Saccharomyces cerevisiae S288C: one gene and its partner. The protein of the gene in region 2 purifies or fractionates together with the protein of the main gene of each other region. This does not show direct contact. Each region holds a gene or a part of one and is shown on either strand. Other genes may lie near its edges. The genes, in order: MDJ2 and PUS9.

Region 1 (7,115 bases), on a different chromosome or scaffold from region 2:
ACCACGTTTGGGTGCTACTGAATCGATTTCATCGAAAAATATGACACAAGGTTTAGCCTCTCTCGCCTTTTGAAACACTCTGCGCACATTAGCTTCACTCTCACCAATGTACATATTCAACAGTTCAGGGCCTTTAACACTAAAAAAATTTAAAGAAAAATTTGTTGCAATGGCCTTAGCCATTAGAGTTTTACCTGTACCCGGTGGACCATAAAAAAGAATACCGCTTCTCTTTTTCATACCTGAGGTAAATAATTCAGGATGTTTTAGCGGCATGTCTATTGTGTCCAATATTTCACCTTTAACAAAATCAATACCACCTATATCATCCCAAGTTACGTTAGGGATTTGTGGGGCACCAATCGAAACCGAGAATTCGTTCCTAGCTTTCGAAGTAGCTTTTGATAAATCCTCCTGAGTGATCAAAATTGATTGCGGAAGCCATCCACACTTCTTTGATTCTTGGTAAAAACGCGCAGTAGCCGTCATTCGTGCCGTTTCCACAATTGATTTGATGTCTAAAGGAGTTAAACCAGCAGAATATGAAGAGAGTGATGAAAATGAAATATTATCCATGTAAGATACTGGAACCTTTTGTTGAACATCTCTGTTTAGTTCATGTGAAGATAAGTACCACTGAAAGATACGCAGTCTCTGTGCTTCAGACGGAACGGGTACGAGAATCTCAAATCTCATATGTGATCTAAAGCTGGAAGGCACGTTATCTATGTTATTTACGGAGCCAACAAATGTAGTTCCTGGGAATTTAAACGTAAAATCGTCCAGAAGTTTAGACATTTCGAAGTTTATAGATTTTTGTAATTTGATTGCCTCTGGATCTTGATTAGCGTTTACGTCAAGCAAAATTGAATCCAAATGAGCCAAAAAAATCACAGCAGGTGATGCGTACGGTAGGACATTTTCACATTTAGCCCTAATGTAACCAATAATCTTAGATGTTGAATCCAGTTGTCTTGAATTTGAAGTGAGCGAAAGGCAATCTATCTCCAGTAGATGTATACCAAGATATTTTGAAGCAAATCTCACCATTGTAGCCTTGCCCACATTGTTTGTAGTGGAATGAAGTAACACAGAGGCATTTAGGGTGATTCCCCTTTGAGAACAATTGAAGGAAGTTTCTAATATGTTAACCAATTGTCTTACATAGGGGAAGATATGCAAATCATAGTAAAAAGTTTCAGCAAAACCGTAATATCTCTGAAGATTGGATCTACTCAAGGGTAATGGTCTTCTGTTAGTGATATTAGTTGTTATTAGCTTCGTCCGATTGGGATCAATAATAAAATGAGAATTATCTTTAGAGAAGCAATCGAGCTCTGCGCTTGTGACAAAGAACCATACAAGGGAATCGTTCTTGTAGTACTGCCCTAGCTCATCTTCGTCATCAGACTCATCATTTTCCTCTGCTATATTGAGATCAGCCATACTTGAATCAAAAGCGATTGGGATTAAATCATTTTGACAAAGAATCCTTTTGCTCTCGCTAAAAAACTTTTTCAAGGTTGTTAGAATAATATTTTGAAAGCATTTCTGAGATTGAAGCCAGCCTCCAACTCTTGAGATGAAAACTTGATTAGCAATGGGAATATCTGTATGGCCTATATTGGACTTTGATATTGTCACGACGCTGCAGTCTGGAAAGCTTGCTATTATTTTGGGAGGTGCGTATATTGTTCTTTTTTTAAAGCCGTTGGGGAGTAGTAAAACAAACAGCTTAACTAGCCTGACGCAACCCATATTTGACACTGTTATAAACGATCCACTTGTGACATCCAGGCGCAGTAGAGTTTCAGCGTCTGTAAAGGCATATATTGAATTATCATCATTGATGTGAGGTGCAGGTCGCAAAAGATCTCTTGAAATTGTGCAGGGGAGAGATTCAAGATCAATTGATAAAGCAGAATTTGTCCCTATTTTAGGTAATGCATATTCTTCATCTTCGTTAGCATATTTTAGAGCACTTAGTTTCTGCTCAGTATCATTTACTAATATCAATTGGGTTTCTGTAAAATCAACAAGGCCCTGCGGGAAAGGTGAGCAGTTTAAAATTTGGCAAAGACCAGATGTTAAAATATCTCGAGAATGAACCACGGTTTCCATGGAGTTGATGTTATATTTGTAATGCAAAAATTGTATTTGTTGCATCTCTTGCGGTAGGTCCATTAGTTTTGAGTACAATTGTTCATTAATCAGAAACGTTACGCTATCCAGTACAGGTACTACATTGTCTAATATGGGTTCAAAATAGCAAAAATCCATAGTGGGCTGTGTCGGCATAAACCCAAAAAGTTTGGAAGGTACAACAATGCTACAGAAGGGCAGTGAATCATCCAGGACACAATGTACAATTTTACCAGGCGTGCAACCTGGACCGTACTGAGGCAATCTAATTGTCCCATATAAACATTCAGCTTTTTTATCGCCGTATTCGAGATATATATCCCTAGAAATGCTACAGGGGGCGTATATTCCGGAGAGACTAAACGTAAGCGATGCCTTCATATTAATGTTACTATAATCGCTTTCTTTTGGAGGGTATGCAAACACATATATGCTCTCCACTACTGTTCTTTGTTCTAATTCTAATGACTTGTTTGAAAGTCTCCGATGGCCGCACTTTCCCGGAAGTGTTGACGATTATCGCCGTATACTATGTGGTGTAAGGAAGTGTAGCAATTGGCTACATGATATATAAAGTTCTTTTATCTCTTTCTTAGTAAAACACTTCTTTCGAGAACTTCTTTCGCCTCATTTATCTTGGCCGCCATGTAGGGACTCCCTCCTCTGTCTGGGTGGTTACGAACCATAGCCTTCCTGTGCTTTTTTTTCAGTAATTTTTCATCCAAGTGATTAATCTCTCTGGCGGAGATATCCAAGATGAGCAAGGCTTCGGGCTCTGTCATTCGCGGTGCAAAGCCTCCCTGGTACTGGTTTAATCTATTTTTCAGTTCTTCGTCTATCAGTGAGCTTTTGAACTTAAGTGCATCGCGGTAGCCCGCCGTCGGGTTTTCTATGCGAATGTTATTTAGTTTTGCAATAGTTAAAGGGGACAGGGTCTTGTAGACGGTCCATGCATTGAGACCAGACTTGACACTTAGAGCAACCATTGTCACGCCCAAACCAATTATTATAGGCAAAACCATGCTGGAATATCCTATTCTTTGTGGCTATACTGTGTATTGAGTGGATCCTAGCAACGAATTCGTTTGTTGTTATTTTTTTCTAGATTGTATCTCCGTTTCCGAAATTGTTATTCACAATGAGCGTTTACCTCTTGCAATAACAATAATCAGAGAATAAGCTACAAGACGAAAAATGACGTTGAGCGTGGCAGTAATGCCATAACGAAGATCAATAGTGTATGGGATGTTGGATATGTCGTTTCCCTGCCAAAGAAAAAGAAACACAAAAAAGAAAAAGCAAAAAAAAACAGTGCTAAGGATTTGATATTAAACGAAGTCCCACCATGGAGGATCATATCCCAATAAATTTATGCATAGAATGGTACCATTCACAACTAATATAGCCTCTGCTGGTTCCTTTAGTAACCTCTTTAGTAACCTCTTTAGTGAAATGGTTCTTGCTGGCTCTATTATTTTCCTAATTCGGACGCGCTGGCTCCGCGCCGTGAGGAAAAACAGCAGGCTGACAAGGGACTAATTTACTGACACTTTCGGCTGACACTTCCGAAAAGGTACTCAAGCTTTTATGAGTAAGATGCTGGTTTGATGCTAAGAATACGATTTAGTACTTCCTTTTTAATGTGGCTTGTTTTTTTTTTATTCGTCCATAACAGTACAAATATAAAAGCAGAATACATTCTTGCCGACCTAAAACTTGTGTCCTTAGACTCAAACTTTCTGATGGTTTTCTTTCAGTAGAATCAACATAAACAAGCATAATATAAAACACTACAATGAATAAACTATTGTTACATCTAGTACGAGTCATTTCGATACTCGGCCTAGCAAACGCTCTCACACAAACGCAACCGATTTTAAAAGATATTCAAATAACAGATAGTTATACCAAAACAAAAGAATGTACGGATCCAGATCATTGGTTCATAATAGAAGGGCAACTGTCTATTCCAAAGGGAAGTCAGCAAAATATAACATTCCAAGTACCAGATGCTTTCAGCTCATTCCCTCAAGAACCCTTCAGCATAAAACATAATTCTAACAGTGTTGCCACGATATCACGCCCAGATAAATCGACGAACAATTTCACCATTTCTATTCCAGAAAAGAGTTCAGAAGATATAACTACTACATTTAACTTCCTTGCACAGCTTACATCAGATGCTAAATCCAAAGTTACAGAACCAAAAAGCATCGTTTACAGTTTCTATTCAGAAAATACTATGTTTAATGACGTTATTGATTACGTCGCTAAAAATACTTCTGCTATAACAACAGATGGTGGTATATACAAAACTAATAATACCGCCTGGTTTACCGTTGACTTACCAATGAGAACGTTCAGAAATCCCGTTTATTTGACTTCTCAGACATCTTCCTCCTCAGATTACGTATTCGATACTTCGTTAACTAAGTTTGAGGTTGTCACTGCCGTTGATTCTTTTAACGAACCTATTAATGCTATCCCATATACAACTGTTCATGACTACTCCACAGAAGATGAAATTAGATGTTTATTTAATTCTACAATCAGCGGTGGGCTATACTTCCGTGTGACTTATTTCACAAAGAAGCTATCTACCTCGTCCATATCAAATACTGTCGAATTAACATATCCCGATGAAGGTACATCTGTCAGACTTTTAGGAAAGAGAGATACTTCAACCACCCTAGCCTCAGAATTATATTCTGAGTCAGCTGCTAACATTGATTCCACCACCAGTGATGACACAACTAGCTCTGATGCTGCTATAACACCAACATACTCAAATTCAACGCTTTCTTCTTATACTTCGCAATCATCCGCTATCCCTGAAGTTGCGGTTACTGCATCATTGAGTAGCGGGATCCTTTCTTCTACAGTTGACGGTGCTAGCACCTCGGCGGACGCTTCCATGTCCGCTGTCTCTACGGTTTCTTCTAGCAGTGAACAAGCTTCTTCTTCAAGTATTTCTTTATCGGCTCCAAGTTCTTCAAACTCAACCTTTACTACTCCTTCATCTTCTCTGTCTGCTACTGAAACATATAGTATTATCAGTTCAGCTAGTATATCTGTCACACAGGCTTCCTACATTGATAATTCTACAACTACCGCTGTTACCCAATCTACTTCTACTATAGCAGTTTCATCTGCTGAAAAATTGTCAAGCACTCTATCATACACCAGTAACGTCACAATATCAGTATCATCAGCTACCCAACATACTACTACTCCTTCATATGTTAGTAACTCCACTACACTCTCATCCTCATCTGTTCTTGAATCTGTAATTAGCTCTCCATACCTGGCAAACACTACTGTTTCAGGAGCTTCATCTGCAAGTCAATCTACTAATCCGCCATATGTCTCCAACTCCACAACATCATCCGCAACTCAATTAGCCACCATTGCTCCGTTCGCGATTAACATAACAGGAACAAGTATTTCTTCTAGTATCACTAATACTTCTTCAGTTAGTTCTACTACGTCCAGTTTATCATCCGGCCCATTTGTTTCAAACACAACGGTTGCCTCTGGGTCTTATATTCTAACCACTACTACAGAGTCTGCACAACTTACTGAAATAGGGAGTTTGATACCAATCTCGACTATTACTACTAGTACCACCACTTCTGGTACCGATAAAACTGGTAGTAATAAGGTGGCCTCTTCAACTGAAATAGCGCAATCTATCGTAAACAACAGTTCACTTTCGGTGTCAACAATCAACACTAACGCTGCGACAGCAGCTGCTAATGCCAGAAATGCTACTTTCACTCATGCAACCCATTCTGGTTCGCTTCAACCCTCATATCATAGCAGCTCACTATTATCGTCCACAATTGACACCAAGGTAACTACTGCTACTACAAGCACCAGTAGAGACGGTAGTTCGAGTTTGGCTTTCACCACTGGGCTCAATCAATCCGTAGTTACCGGTACAGATAAAAGTGATACCTATAGTGTAATTTCATCCACAGAATCAGCCCAGGTTACGGAGTACGACAGCTTACTTCCAATTTCCACCCTGAAGCCTACAGTCGTTACAGGTACAAGTAGAAACAGTACCTTTAGTATGGTGTCCTCCACCAAATTGACCGAAGCTACTGCAACGGATAAAGGTGATGCGTATAGTGTAATTTCATCTACACAGTCGGCTCAAGTTACTGAATATGGAAGTATGCTTCCAATTTCTACGCTGGAAACACCAACAGTCATTATGAGTACCGATGAAAGCGGCTATTTTACTTTAACTACATGTACTGAGTCTGGGCAAGCTACAGAATATGGTAGTCTGATTCCAATTTCCACACTAGATGGTTCAGTTATATATACATTTACTGGCGAAAGTGTAGTGGTGGGTTACAGTACCACAGTGGGTGCCGCCCAATATGCACAACATACAAGTTTAGTCCCAGTATCTACCATCAAGGGTTCCAAAACTTCTCTTTCAACCGAGGAAAGCGTAGTGGCTGGCTACAGTACTACAGTGGGTGCCGCCCAATATGCACAACATACAAGTTTAGTCCCGGTATCTACCATTAAGGGTTCCAAAACTTCTCTTTCAACCGAGGAAAGCGTAGTGGCTGGCTACAGTACCACAGTAGATTCTGCCCAATACGCCGAGCACACAAATTTAGTTGCCATAGATACATTGAAAACTAGCACATTCCAAAAAGCAACAGCAACTGAGGTTTGTGTCACATGTACCGCCCTTTCTTCCCCTCATTCTGCAACTTTAGATGCAGGTACTACTATTTCATTGCCAACAAGTTCCAGCACATCTCTATCTACAATAATTACCTGGTATTCCTCATCTACTATTAAGCCTCCTTCAATTTCTACATACTCGGGCGCCGCTGGTCAATTAACCATCCGTATTGGCAGTTTGTTGCTAGGGTTAATCTCATTTCTGCTGTAAGAACTATTTTATCAAATAGAAAGTTATAAATAAAAACTAAGAGTTCTTTTGG
Region 2 (8,326 bases):
GTAGTAATGGATGAAGACGAGGCTTTTGTACAAGTGCCATCATTGTTTCCCTTGCACTGGTAGGTCCAATAAAATCCAGGGAAATCCGTTTGTGAGTGGCCTTGATTGTCATAATTGTTACAACCTGTCGATAAATCGAAGGTGGTTGTCCCCCATTGCCAAGTTTGCCAGTACTGAGCAGCATCACCTTGTAGATATTCGAACTGGATTTGGAAATTTGGCATCCAAACTGTGCAACCGTCAGAAGAAGGGTAAGCATAAACCTGAAAAGTGGATGTAAAATCTGTTGGATCACTGATTAGGTATGTCTTCTCATTTTTGCCGTAAAGTTGTACGGTGCTTGAGGGACCGTTGACACCAATAATCTTTAAAGACCATAAATATTTCAAAGGGATATCTTTTACGGCTTTGACATGAATAGTAATCTGGTATGTGTTATCCTTGACCCATGATACGGAAGTAACATCCATATCATAATGTAGTATATTCTGTTGGCTCATGTGCCAGTTGAAATCCAAATTTGGACAACCATTGATAGCAACGCTTTCGTCTCTTTTGCTTAGATCAAATGAAGGGCTCACCTTGTCATCAATTCTATCAGCAGTCGCTGAATTTGTGAGCAAGGCCGCAAATAGGAGGCAAAATGATATTAGTAGTTTTCTTATGAATGATGTGGATACCTATTTTACACTTTTGCAACAAGGGGAGGAAAATTGCCAAGACCATCATGACATTGGAGGAAGTGATTTGCTTCTCTTAAATATAAAATAATTAAACGATCATGGAGATGCAGCGAACTAATGTGAAAAATTTTTCTTTCCAGTAGTATCGGTTATTCTGTAAGCATAGAATCGGGTATTAGTGGCTTGTTCCGAGCTTTTTTTCTTTGCCAATAAGAAAACAAGTAAAATGCAACGTGCAAATGCTGATCTGATCTCGCCTGGGCCAGTTTTATCGTCATGTGCGCGTGTAGGCACGAAAAAAAAGAAAAGACCGCTACCTCTCCTTCTAAAATGACAGGAGGAGAATATAAGGTTTGGCAGCCCCTTGAAAGAGCCGCAGGAACCAAAAAAAAAAGAAGGAAAGTTTATTTTTTTCTTTTTCCAAAAGACTTTTTAAGATGTTTGTCAGCAAGATAATACAGGACCTACACGACTATCAGTCACAGCCAGAGAAACGTTTGTCGTATGATGGCAAAATATTTTTCCCACAACTTTGAAATTATTTTCAAATATGGCAGAACAGTTTAACATTTGGTTTCAAGAGGTAGCACAAGTTCTTGAATAGTATTTGTTCGCGTTAAGATGGAAGCAGGCCAAATGCCCCAATAATCTAATAACCGTATTTTCTATGCTAAAGGAGGAACGAACACTCGGTCTTGTACAGGCAGCTCTAAAAGGAAAATTTCCATCCCCCCAGGCCAAGAAAATCAGAATCATATGGCCCCCTTCCATTCTAACGGAATAGTATATCAAAGAAATAATGTTTACGTAAGCCATAGACAAGCGATATAATCTTTTTTATCCTTAAACTAGGTGCTTCATTAAGAAAGAAGAAGAAAAGAAGAAAGTACGACAAAGACTCCCCGCTGGACAATAAACGGGGGCGGCAGGTGTTAATTCCGAATTGAAATTTAAATTTGACATAAGCAAAGTTTAAAGTTTTTTTTTTCCAGTTCTTTTTTCCCATCGTTTTTTTTTCTAGAAGCCGGGTTTTTCACCGTCAAAAAATTTCCTAAAAAAGATCTGTCAATCATTAAGTTTTGCTTTTTCGGCTTTTAAGCCATGCTTTCAGGCAAAAATTAAGATTTCTTCGTAAAGATCGGAGCCTTACGCCCAAGAAGCAACTGGCCGTAAAATTTTTTCTTCGATCGGGTGGCAAATGGAACAGAAGATCATGAGTAGAAGGAAAAGTAAACAAAGAATTGCGTCGGTCAACCGGTTGTTGCTGCGTGCTTCAGCGGGTGATAAATAAAAGATTTCCTATCTGAGTAATCGATGACACAAGCGGTCTGCGCTCGGTCGCTTCCAAGCCTTAACAAAGTTTTTACTTTATGGTTTTTAATAAATAAATAAAAAGAAACGTGGATTTGGATAGCAGAAAGCCTCGAAGATCATTTTATCAATGAAATTTTATGGTTAACACTTTCAAGACTCCGATTTTCTCTGCTACGTGAAATTTTAGGTTGCGAAAAGAATACTACCGGGAATACTAGGAGTGTGGAAGAAAAGAAATGGAAAAGAAAAGGAGAAGTGGTCATTCTTCACATCTCATTGTCTTCCTCCTGTAAAGATTTTAGCTTTTTTATAAATTAAGATTAAGATTGTAGCGTGATGTTCTGTTACTGTCATTTTTGATTGGCCAATGACTGATTATAACAGAAGACCAGTTTTCTATGTATTATTGTCCGACAAGTCAGGAACCTCTATCTTCTCAGAGCCCATTCTGGATACTCTGTTTTGTAGCACCACTTTTTCTTTTCGGTTCCTTCTTCAGTCTCAGTTGATTCGTATAGATAGGCATGTAACCACAGATCAAGATCATTGGGGCCAGGATCAGTATACAAATCAGATTCACAAATAGAACATTTTTCTTGCCTTAATACCTCACCGTACCCGCCATTACTATGGAACCAACTTTTAGCAGGTTTTCTTTTCCCTATTTCGTCTAGCTTAGTAATAACTATATCGAAGTCAGCCTGGCCGCCTTTTCCGAGATTGTTACCCCATACTTCATCATTGGAATAAATAGGATCGTTAGCAATTGGGTGGCCTAAGTACTGTAAATGTACTCTAATTTGATGTGATCGCCCGGTAAGCGGTTTGCACTTTACAATACTCGTTTTACCGTCGTAGCTGATTCTGTTAAAAACAGTTTTTGCATGTTTGGCTCCTTTCTCGTCCATTTGACAAACTGCATTAAGAGCAAGCCTTGGCTCGATCAGTTTTAGAGGTTTTTCAACAATTACTTCCGTTTCTGGAAATTCTCCAACTACCTTGGCCACGTATTCCTTAGTGACTTCTCGAGCTTTTAGTTGATCGCCGATATTATCGGCTCCCTTCGGAGTTTTTGCCAAAAACATTAATCCACTTGTAAGCCTATCTAACCTATTACATGGGTTCACAACAAATCCGAGATTATTTTGAAGCATTTTCGTAATTGTATTGAACCGATATCGGCCAGTTGGGTGAACAGGTATACCGCTCGGTTTATCAATAACCATTATGTTATCATCTTCAAAAATAACTTTGATAGGCCTGGAAGTGACTGGAGGTTCATGTCTATGTACCTGATGCGTAATCAGGTCACCATTGCGAATTACAGTAGATAAGTCCGCAGTTTCATCGTTTATATGAACGTCCCCGTTTTCGATTGTTCTTTTATAATATTCAGATTCACGATCTCGAAATTCAGATATAAAGACATCAACCAATTTTTTATCTCTCCAACGCTCTTTGCAAAAGGTCCTGTACGTAAAATGGTAGGGCTTGATTTTCCTTAGAGGGCCATCGATGACAATTTCATACTCTGGATCTAGTTGTCTATGTTTCTCTTTTTTGCTGCCTATCGTTCGTGATTGAAAAGTAGATTTATTAATCAAATCTGGCGATTTTTTTGATTGAGTTCGCTTTATTTTTTTTTTCTTTTGAATTTCCCTCTCTCTTTCAACCTCATTTTGCAAATGTTCATCAAACTCATTTGAGGTTGCATTACCTGCAAAAGCAAGACCTGCAGATAATGCATTCCTTTTGAGTTGTCGAGCCATTATTACTGGCACTGTAAACAAATTTCTTAACCTATTATTTCTTTGCATAAGTTTCCTATTCCATTATACGAGCACTCATCCATTTTCAAAAGTTTTTTATGAACTTTTTCTTAACTCGGTCTTTTGTTCTCTAATGGTTCGCCGCCAGACAGAAAAAAAGCTTACTTATCGAGGAATCACATTGCTTCAATGAATAAATTCTATAATGCATATACTACCTAACATATATAAGAGAAGTGAGCGTCATTCATGTCGGCTACTTGTCAATTTGTATTACGTTCCTTACTTTCCATTTTCAAACATCGCGATACAAAAACTTTATAATGGTCCATTTCTTAAGAAGGCTATCAAATCTATGCCGCTACTATCACTACTATCATTATCGTTCTGCGCCTCAATTATTGGATCAGGAGTCGTACCTGGTATTGTGGGCTTGACCAGATAATTTTCAGATGCACTAGCATCTGAATAGCGTAAATTCTTATCCTCTTCAATGCTATTCTCATCATCGTTTGTGACAATATTGCTTGAAAAGAAGCTGGATTTGACCATACTGTTAGTTGAGACGTCCTGATGTTTATCGTGACTTTTATTTTGGTTTAATGCAAATTTCAACCCGGGTAGAGAAAAATGGTCGTTATTGTACCGTATTTTCAACAATCTGTTTAACTCATCAAGATCTATTCCGCCAAGCATTGGAATATGATGAATGATCCTCCAAAACAAGGGCACTTCAACCTCTTCGGCCGTGATGTTATTAAGCATTGCCTGTAGTTCAAGTGAATTTGATGGAAGGGAGCGATCGCTACTATTCGTTTTAGTCTCATCAGATTCTGTGCGTTTATTATCGTTTGAATCTTTGGCTGAATAGTAGTTTTCCCAGTATTCAAAATCGTCACAATTGTCATAAAAACTAAAGTGTAGTTTTAGTTCAAACAATTGTTTAAAGAAGCGTTCAACAAACCACAGTATACGCTTCAGAGGGTTTGTAGAATATTTCCAGCATTTTCTTTTCTTCCACTTACCACGATAATACCAACCTCTTTTCCCCCAATTGCTGTGACAAAACTTCAGAATTTCCTTTTCACCAAGCTCTCCTTTCAGAATATATTTTTCAATGAGATATTTTGATTCTGTTTTTGCCCATGAATAGTTCCAAGGTTTTTCCTTGAACAGGTAAACAATGACGTCGACGAGACAACTTAATGGTCGAACGCAAGTGTCAATGTATGTCACCCACATGGTAGGCCCATGCTTTATTTCATGATTGTATTGCAACGCATCTGCAATGATGGGGAAAAGCCATATCCCAATATACGACAGTGGATAAATGAATATTGCCCTTAGATTCTTTTGAATTTGTGCCCTACGTTTTTTCATTTGTTTGTAGGTTTGGGCTTGGAAATGCTGTTGTACGTTGGTGAAACTTGAATTTTCGCATCTGTCTGCATTATTATTCACTCTCTCCTGTGAAAATTGTTGAGACGGAGTAAATGCTTCATTAGAAAGTGTAGGAATATTATCGGCTGGATTAGTATTATTGTTATCAACGTTATTTTTAATATTATTACTATTATTATTATTATTGTTGTTGTTGTTGTTATTGTTATTATTATTGTTATTATTATTATTGTTATTATTATTATTGTTATTATTATTATTGCTATTATTGTTATCGTTATCGTTATCGTTATTGTTGTTGTTGTCGTCGTCGTCGTTGTTACTGTTGTTGTTGATGATGCCTCCTTTTTCCTTAATGTTACTAGTTATGTCGCTGTTATCGTTCTTATTATCATACATTGCTAAAGGAGATTCTAGAGAATTTTGGCAAGAGAAAGTCTGATGTCCCAGCATTGAACTTTTTCTTGTATCCAGTCCTTCATTTTCAACACTAAAAGTAACTTTATGCTCCTTTTGCTTGGATACTAGTTCCGAAGGATTGAGTGTGATGTCATTTTCACAATCAAAAGGATTATTTCTTTCCAAATCTGGCTGTTCAGACATTGCATATTTGGACATATCGAGTGGTTTAGCACTGTTATAGTCAAGTAAGCGAACTCCACCACTTGCCGAGACATTCTCATCACTACCTGTATTTGTTTTTCTGAATAGTGTAGGTATCTCATTCGAACTCTCACCAAAATTGAAAGTTCCATTACTACTACCTGAATCGTCTGTTTCCTCATTCGGATCTATGAACGAAATGGTGAAAAAATTCTTTAAATTTCTCAAAAGATGTAGCAATGGCAATTTAAAATAGGATCTGAAATACCATTTGGCTTTTCCCCAGTGACCGAGCCCAAATAATTTTTTCTTTTCTTTCTCTTCCTCTAGTACGTTATGGTTAAAGTCTCCAATTTGCGCTTTAATTCTTTTACTTTCACTGGTAATGAAAATATAAATACTGAGGTAGACTGCAAATATGAAAATAATAATGAAATATCTGGGACCCCAGCTTAAAACAATTTTATACCAGTACGGCTTGGGTGGTAAATAGCACCATGCACTCCAAGGTTTGTAGCCACCTTGCCTGGGAGAATCGGGAAAGTTGTAGTTATTATTATCCAGTATAATAGTGGTGTCAGAATCGTCATTGAGTTTATTATAATTAATGAAGGCTAAGCTTGCTAAAATGGCAGGTACTAATGCAGTAATTGGCCAGATATATGACCTTTTTTTGTACAAGCCACCCTCCATATTTCCCGATCTTTTATTTCGCCATTTCCAATTAGGCTTGAAGATCAAAATAGCAAAATGTATGGCGAATATCATTATGGCCATGTCTGCACCTTCGATGGCAAAGGCCGTAAACCAACCCAAGGTATTAAAAAATGCAGGTGTTGCATACACACTATTATTAATAAGGATAATCATGGGATAAATCATCAGAATAAAAGCTTTAAGAAAGTCGCAAATTATCAAAAATGCGATGAGATCATGTCTGAAGACTTTTCGTCTCTTATCCATTTTAGAAAGGAAGAACATTCCGAGGCAACCGGCAATAAGGGACACGGCAGACGCAGTTATAGCTATTATTCTTAACTGCAACAGTTGCGGAGCCGTGAATGTAGAGGTCATCCCCGGCAACCCCAGCAGCTGGTTAACCGTGGTAGTGTTAAGCTGTCGGAGAGAATCAACTCTCTTTTCTAGTAAGGATGACCCTTTCAACGCGTTTAAATTCGGGGGAAATCCCTCAGTTATCATTTTGAGTTGGAGAGTTTGCTTTATTCGTCACACTTCGGATCACTTGTTTGTCGTTTTTTTTTTTTGGTGACTCTTACTGCTTTTTATAGACACACACACACACACACACACACACCTTCTTCTGGATACCGTAGAGAAAGGGATGTAGACAAATAAAAAAGGACAAAAGCTAGAAAAAAGACGGAAGAGGACGTGCGATTGCGTTGAATATGACCTTCGCAAATAAATATTAATAAATATGACGTTTTTGCCGCAATGCTAATTCTATAACCCACTCCTTCGTTGCCTTCTATGCTTTAATTAAACAATGGGTCCGGCTCAAACCTGGAAGGAAGATTTATAAATCTTGAAAAGAAAAAAAAGTGTGATTTAAAAAAATGAAAAAGAAAAACAAGAGGGCAAAAAAAAATGAACTACTTATTGAGACATGATTCAAGGGAAAAGACCTTCATATATACAGATTACTTTTCGAAATGGTCAGCCGCTTCATGAGCTCTTCTTGGCTGTATCGTACCACCGTGGTTCAATTAGGCAAGTATGTTGCTAAGATTAATTGCTGCGGCGCATCGTATAAGGTGATATACTAAATTCATTATCATCACTATGCATGGGTGTCATTATTATTAACATGGGAAATGGGCCCACTCCCAAGGACTCTATCGTCGATATATAGACAGCACGATTGCCCAGGAGTTATGGCACGTTGTTTTGAGGCTAAGTGTATTGTTATGTCGAGGTTGTCGGCAGAGCGATTCAGTTTGCACGATTTAATTTGGACTGGGACCTGCAGGGACCGGAATTGTAATGTCAAGGCACCAGTATTTTGGAAAGCGTTTATAGTGTCCTCCCTGGGGCCCAAAGACGAAAAGTTTTCGATTCGCATAGTGTCACTGTATAGCGCCGGATTATCTCTTCCTCTGACTATCAAGATTTCGTTGGTATCCCTTAGTTTTTCACTGACAAACCAGGTCCCTTGGTAATTAGGGTCAGCTTGTGGCATGGATATGCCCACTTTCTGTCCAATTGTGTAAGACCACAATCCATCGTGTCTGCCCCATGTCGTTTTGGCACCGGATTGTGGGTCAACGGTAATGATATCACCCGGTGAACTGGGTAGGTAGTGCTTTAAAAAATTCTTGAACTTCCCATGCTGGGAATTGTTGACGAAGCATATGCCCTGTGAATCAGGCTTTTCTGCAGTCGGGAGGCCTGCATACTTCGCTAAATCTCGTACTTCTGGTTTCGTTAGATGGCCAATGGGTAGCAACAAAGATGACAAAACAGTGGAGTTGATTTGTGAAAGGTAATAGCTTTGATCCTTGGGCCTATAAATGCTTCTCAGTAAATGGAATAATC

What was found.
Region 1: the proteins of PUS9 (region 2) and MDJ2 purify together in Saccharomyces cerevisiae (affinity purification with mass spectrometry, with the first as the bait; one large-scale study listed by BioGRID). This does not show direct contact.

Annotation. Positions count from the first base shown.
Region 1 is NC_001146.8:20,111-27,225, forward strand, and holds MDJ2 (Mdj2p), read right to left. Parts: upstream 3,165-7,115; coding exon 2,724-3,164; downstream 1-2,723. Other genes in the region: PEX6 (AAA family ATPase peroxin 6), read right to left, coding at 1-2,523; EGT2 (Egt2p), read left to right, coding at 3,938-7,063. UniProt on the Saccharomyces cerevisiae protein: Plays a role in mitochondrial biogenesis and protein folding.
Region 2 is NC_001136.10:385,088-393,413, forward strand, and holds PUS9 (pseudouridine synthase PUS9), read right to left. Parts: upstream 3,815-8,326; coding exon 2,426-3,814; downstream 1-2,425. Other genes in the region: BSC1 (Bsc1p), read right to left, coding at 1-500; GPR1 (Gpr1p), read right to left, coding at 4,085-6,970; SLM3 (tRNA-5-taurinomethyluridine 2-sulfurtransferase), read right to left, coding at 7,572-8,326. UniProt on the Saccharomyces cerevisiae protein: Responsible for synthesis of pseudouridine from uracil-32 in mitochondrial transfer RNAs.